Linked DNA regions of Callithrix jacchus. The protein of the gene in region 1 binds, or shares a complex with, the protein of each later gene. Links are inferred from orthologs where the notes say so. Each region holds a gene or a part of one and is shown on either strand. Other genes may lie near its edges.

Region 1 (3,651 bases):
GCTATGCAAACAATGATGTCTGTGATGAGTGCATGTGCAAAGGGAAGCTTAAGCCCACCCTCAGCTTGTCTCCAAAGCATTCTCAATTGAAACCCACAATGCTGGGTTATCTGCCTGGAGAAGACTGACCAATACACAGATGGGGCAGAGAATACTGGGGGCGGAGGAGGCCTTTCCCAAGACAACCAGTGACAAGCTATATACTAACAAATCTAGCTTCCCTCTGATTGCTAGTCCTGGGTAAACAGAGTGCATGGAGCTGAGTTACCTGATGGTAAGTCTGGAAGATCATACAGACAGCGCAGTGAGGGGCCTGCTGGGCCATGGTCTCGTTGAATTCCTTCTCAGCCTCAAAGTTTGGAGGTCGGTTCTGCCATAGCTGGCTCAGAGGTTTGGCCCAGGCCTCTGTCTCCTCAGCCTCTTCCTCAGGGGTCAGCTGTTCAGATGTCTCTAGAGAAGGAAACAGAAATGTGAGTCAGCACCAGCCCTGCACACCTGTCGCTCTGCCTGGAGAGCAGATGAGTTCAACTAGGACTTCTGGTCCTAGGTTTTGACCAAGGGTGACTCCTGGATTCCTAAGGATGATAAAGGCAAAGGGTGGAAGCAATTGTCAATAGACTCCTTCAATATCTGGACGACGTGTGGGAAGTCCTGCCAGTACCCCATTCTCTGGCCAGACTGACTCATGGCCTCCATTCTTCCTCCTGCTCCACGAGCTCAGCTTGCTCTGCTCTCCCTTAACAGCTGCCACATTCAACCCCTCTGCCCAAGGACAGCAGAATGAACCACCATCTTGCCAGAAACTGTCTTACTTGCTGCCTCCAAAATGTCAGCATGTTAAGTCCTTTACCTTTTAGACTTTTCCCTTTAGAGCAACTAAACAAAGAAAGAAAATAAAGGAATGGGCAAAGCTGAGAAGTTGTAATATCATGGTCCTTGGACAGGACTTTCCAGCTGCCTCTGGAAAGATCAGGGGTAGTACCTATTCTGGACAAGGTTCCCTAACCGATCCTAGCTCTGCCTCAGAAGAAATCAGAGCTGCATGTTCAGAATGAATCCTCTTCCCAGCCACAAGATGTAATGTCCTGACGCTGGCAAACAATATCCTGCAGGCTGAATCCAGCCCACTCAGGAAGTTAAGAATTATTTTTACTTTTGGGGATGGAGTCTTGCTATGCTGCCCAGGCTGGAGTACAGTGGCTATTTACATGTGCAATCATAGCCCACCACAGCCTCAAACTCCTGGGCTCAAGTGATCCTCCCGCCAAAGCCTCCAAAGTAGCTCAGATAACAGGCATGTGCCACTGCACCCAGCTTTGTTTTTACATTTTCAGCATTGGGGCTTAAAAAAAAAAAGACAACCACAGAGACCAAGGAGGACTGTAAAGTCTAAAATATTTACTTCCTGGCCCTTCATATATCCCTGGTCATGACAGACTGTACCTCCTAGGTATGCTAGACAGCAGAGCATACAACTTATTGGACTTCACCAAGGCCTGGGAAAGAAAAATCCCCTCTGGGTGCATCTTCTTACAAGAAAGGGATATACAGCTGAGTAGAAAACAAAAAAAGTTTGCTCACAAAACTCATATAAATGATAAAGGTACACATTTCCCAGTTATTCCTCAATCGGTGAGACAGGCACAGTCTACAAGCTCCCAGCAGAAACAAGGAAACAGAAACAGGGAAGTAAAAGGAAATGCCAGAATTCTGAAGGTTATGAGTAAATGAGGACAGTCTTTAGTAGATGTCCAAAATGTTTCTCCAGATGCTCCACCATGCCGGGGAGGTATGAGAAGCTACAGTTGCTGTGCCCTTCTTTGCCAAGTGTGATCAAGCAAGGCCCAACTATGCAGCCCCTGATAGGAGACTGGCTCTGTGCCAGCCCCATCAGATGGGGCATTCCGAAGGATCACTGCATCTCGCTAGGAGTGGCATCATCAATCCCCTGCTATGACCCTCCAGTGATCTCGCTTCTTCCCAGACAGAAGTGCTTTCCCAGAAGCGGCCCTGAAATCTGTTCAAAGCAGCCATGGAGAGCTCTGCTCTGCATTAGGTTCCTTTTTTTTTCATTTCTGGCAACACCAGCTCAGTGCAGATAGTTTTCTACTCTGCCCTCAAAGTCGTGTTAAATCTAAAGGCATCTGGCATCTGCCATTGTGCGCCGCCTCAGTGTAGCCTAAGGACACCAATGCAGACAATTAAAATCAACCCCTATTTGCCCCATTGTTCAGTTGTAATCAGGAGCCAACGTACTTAGAACCCAAACAGATTTTTTTTCTTTATCCTGGCCAAACAGGAGTGACCAAGATAGAATGGAAGAAACAGAGACAAACAGACAGGCTCACACTCACAACTAAAAAATTAACACACTGACATCTGTTCCATTTACAAAGCCAAAAGTGACCCCAAATCATTACATTTGTGAATACTGAATGATGAGGGAAAATGTTCACTACATTAAGCGAAAATTTCAGGAAGCAAAATTATACAGTTTACATATGTAATACTTCATTGAGCTGTATAGTTCAAAGGTGTGCATCACTGAATTGTTATGCTTGAATTGAAATTTATTTTAAATTAGGGGGAGGCATAAACATTAAATAAACAGTTGCCCAATACAGTATGTGATCTTAGCTTGATTTATATTAGAGTTCAAAGGAAATAACTATAAAACACATTCTTGGCACAAGCAGGGAATGATGGGCATGGACTGAAGATGAAAGGATATTGTGGGGCCAGGCGTGGTGGCTCATGTGTGTAATCCCAGCACTCTGGGAGGCTGAAACGGTGAATCACTTGAGGTCAGAAGTTCAAGACCAGCCTGGCCAACATGGTGAAACCCCCATCTCTACTAAAGGATACAAAAATTGGCTGGGCATGGTAGCATGCACCTGTAATCCCAGCTACTTGGGAGGCTGAAGCAGGAGAATCACTTGAACCCAGGAGGCAGAGGTTGCAGTGAGCCAAGATCATGCCAGCTGTACTCCAGCCCGGGCAAGAGTGAGTGAGACTTCATCTCAAAATAAAAAAGTAGGGGAGGTTGTATATTATCTCAATTGCATTATTTCGTTATTTTAAAAAGATATACATGGACATATTCTAATATATGATTAGAAAAGTCAGGAGGATAGATAATATATTAATATATTCATAATGGTCATCTTTGAAGGGTAATTTTGTTTTCCTCTTGGTAACTTTTACAGTTTCCTAAAGTCTATATTGCTGTAAACCAATCAGGAGATAGGCTGGTGCTACCCAGAGAACCTGAAGCTCCTGTCTGGGTGGAATAAGAACATGGAAGGCTCCCTAGGACCTTACTCAGAGTCCTGCCACACTTCTGACTGGAGGGCAGAAGGGATGTTCCCCATCCAGTTTATCATGATCTTTCAACTTTAAAAAAAAAAAAAAAAAAAAAGCAGAGATGGGGCACTGATATCAGATCAGGAAGGAGAGGACCAGGTAGGACAGAGCCTGACATTAGTCAAGAGTTACAATTGATTCTGCTCTCCCTGAGGGTGCCAGGGCCCAGTCACAAACACAGCCAGAGCTGAGGCTCTGCAATGCTGATCTTCCTGAATCTCTGGGCTCCAGGAAGCACAGGAGACCACTCTCCTCTGATGTCGATGCACCCGGAGCTTCAGTGCTACA
Region 2 (2,730 bases), on another chromosome or scaffold:
AAATTCACTCTTTCACACATTGTTCAAAGGATGTTTACAGAGAGCAATGATTTATAGTAGCTTAGATAGACTCTCAAAGCTCTAAATCTGAGATTGAAATTTGAACTTATCATTTAATTACTATATGTCACTTATTTTTCTTTCTATGCACTCTGGGAAACATTGGGACACAGTCTTCAGGGAAATTGAAACCATGCATGGTAAGTGGACTAGTCATTCCTCAACTATTCAGTAATAATAGGGGCTGGGTTTCTCTAATAATGGGAGTAGATCTGTTTCAGTCTACTCTTCTTATTTATTTTCCCTCATCATCAGCTCTTGAATTTCGGCTCTAAAATACCTTATTGCAATTTGGTTCTGAAGCATATGCCAAAAGCATTCAGCAAGGCTGCAGACAATTTCTTTAAAGTGCACCTCCACTTCCAGTGACTTTATGAACATCACATTTAAAAATTAATCCTTTTTCATCTCTGTACCCTGAGTATATTTTGGACTTCCCTTCGGTCCCAAATACCCCGAATTCAAGGTATCTCAATCCATGGAGCAGTTGTCCAGGGGAAGAGAGAAGCAACAGCCCCGCCCCCAACCCTTGGGAGCAGAAAGGGAAAGAATTATCCAAAGGAATTGTTTAAAAACTCAGGTGTAGCGGACAGAAGTAAAATCATGGCTGCATAGAATGATGTCCCAGGGGTCCAAAACTTAATCCCAAATGGGCAATAATTTGTTTGGCATTAAAGTAAATCAGTTTGATGAACTCAAATGCCCTCGGCTCAATAGGCAGGACTCTCCGAGGAGCCTGTGTTACTTCCCTCACTTAAGTGCAGATTTGTAATAAAAATCTCAATGCCAGTGGCATGCTTTTTGGACATATAAGAAGCTAACCACTTGGAGAATCATATTTGAGAGGTCAGAAAACTCCACAGTTAAAGATCGGTTTGTAATTTACGAAGAAAATAGAAAGTTTTGTTTCTCTGAGTTGAAATTTGCCAAGCACGGTGGGAAATATTGCAAGTTTTTGGCACAAGGCTTTGTGCTTTCCTCATAATTTGAGATCTGCGTGAAGCCTGAGGCTTCGGGGATCATTATCTGAGAAAAATCGGGCAGTTCGGTGTAGACAATTTTTATATTTTTGGCTTTTTTTGAGGTGTAACAAACACAACTCGGGATCCGAGAGGACACTCTGCGGCTGCCAGCGAGGCGGGCTGGACAGCGCACCAATCACGGCGCAGCTCCGCCCTATATAAACGGGCGGGCGCAGCGCCGCGGCCCGAGTCCCGGCCAGTGCCTCTGCTTCCGGCTCGAATTGCTCTCTCTCACGCCTGCCTTCAACATGTCCGAGACTGCGCCTGCCGCGCCCGCTGCTCCGGCCCCTGCCGAGAAGGCACCCGTCAAGAAGAAGGCCCGCAAGTCTGCAGGTGCGGCTAAGCGCAAAGCTTCTGGGCCCCCGGTGTCCGAGCTCATTACCAAGGCTGTCGCCGCCTCCAAGGAGCGCAGCGGCGTGTCTTTGGCCGCTCTCAAGAAAGCGCTGGCAGCAGCTGGCTATGACGTGGAGAAGAACAACAGCCGTATCAAGCTAGGTCTCAAGAGCCTGGTGAGCAAGGGTACCCTGGTGCAGACCAAGGGCACCGGCGCTTCGGGGTCCTTCAAACTCAACAAGAAGGCAGCCTCTGGGGAAGCCAAGCCTAAGGCTAAAAAGGCAGGCGCGGCGAAGGCAAAAAAGCCCACGGGAGCGGCGAAGAAGCCTAAGAAGGCGACGGGGGCAGCAACCCCTAAGAAGACCGCCAAGAAGACCCCAAAGAAGGCGAAGAAGCCGGCTGCGGCTGCTGGAGCCAAAAAAGCGAAAAGCCCGAAAAAGGCGAAAGCAGCCAAGCCAAAAAAGGCGCCCAAGAGCCCAGCGAAGGCCAAAGCAGTGAAACCCAAGGCGGCTAAACCAAAGACCGCCAAGCCTAAGGCAGCCAAGCCAAAGAAGGCGGCAGCCAAGAAAAAGTAAGAAGTTACTTTGGCCAACTGCTTTGAAGCTCAACACAACCCAAAGGCTCTTTTCAGAGCCACCCACCCATCTCAGTAAAAGAGCTGTTGCACTCAGGGGGCGTGGCTGGGAGAAAGACCACGCCAAGGAGGGGCGGGGTCTCCCGGGGAGATAGCCGGTAGGGAGAGAAGTAAAGTCTTTAAGTATGCGAAGTCTTGAGCATTCTGTCTTCCAAGCTCGAGTGTAGTGCCGTCATCGCGGTTTTATTGCGCTCTCGAATTCTGGAGCGCAGCCCATCTGTGGCATGCCTAGGAGGACCTGGCCGGTAGATAATAGCATAGAGAAGAGTCAGTTTGGGTTATTCAGGCTTGCTTACTGGGTCTCCGGCACTCCGAAAACGAACACATACCACTTCCACGTATTACACTCCGCAGAAGCGTATGTATCGGGACATAAGGGGCGTAGTACAGACACAATTGCCTAAGCGCTCTTATGTCAAATGGTTGGGGAGACCACTGCAATAAAGATCAGAAGCTGTCACTATAGAAAAGATTTGTTCCCTAACGTGGTACCTGGATAAAGGGCTTGCTGCCAGACTTTGGGGGATGTCCCAATTAGCAAGTCTACAGTACAGGAGTGAGGGAGAAAATGTGAACTCTCCTAATCTGATGAGTAGTTTCAATGTAAGCGAAAAGCTCTCTAAAACAACTGCTCTACGACAAGTACACAACTGTCTTGACTGAAGAGGTCTATTTATAGTA

What was found. Proteins that work in one complex are often made in the same cells at the same time.
Region 2: the proteins of KDM4A (region 1) and H1-4 are in contact, whole or in part, in a crystal structure (PDB 6H8P), measured with the Homo sapiens proteins. The link is inferred for Callithrix jacchus from reciprocal best matches to the Homo sapiens genes KDM4A and H1-4. Residues at the interface, in NP_055478.2 of Homo sapiens: Ile71, Asn86, Ala134, Asp135, Asn137, Thr167, Ile168, Glu169, Gly170, Val171, Tyr175, Tyr177, Glu190, Asp191, Ser196, His240, Lys241, Ser288, Thr289, Asn290, Asp311, Met312, Val313; in NP_005312.1 of Homo sapiens: Ala24, Arg25, Lys26, Ser27, Ala28, Gly29.

The regions. Positions count from the first base shown.
Region 1 is NC_133508.1:80,339,474-80,343,124, reverse strand, and holds part of KDM4A (lysine-specific demethylase 4A), read right to left. Parts: intron 451-3,651; coding exon 269-450; intron 1-268. UniProt on the Homo sapiens protein: Histone demethylase that specifically demethylates 'Lys-9' and 'Lys-36' residues of histone H3, thereby playing a central role in histone code. Does not demethylate histone H3 'Lys-4', H3 'Lys-27' nor H4 'Lys-20'.
Region 2 is NC_133505.1:4,582,416-4,585,145, reverse strand, and holds H1-4 (histone H1.4), read left to right. Parts: upstream 1-1,269; 5' UTR 1,270-1,330; coding exon 1,331-1,990; 3' UTR 1,991-2,100; downstream 2,101-2,730. UniProt on the Homo sapiens protein: Histone H1 protein binds to linker DNA between nucleosomes forming the macromolecular structure known as the chromatin fiber. Histones H1 are necessary for the condensation of nucleosome chains into higher-order structured fibers.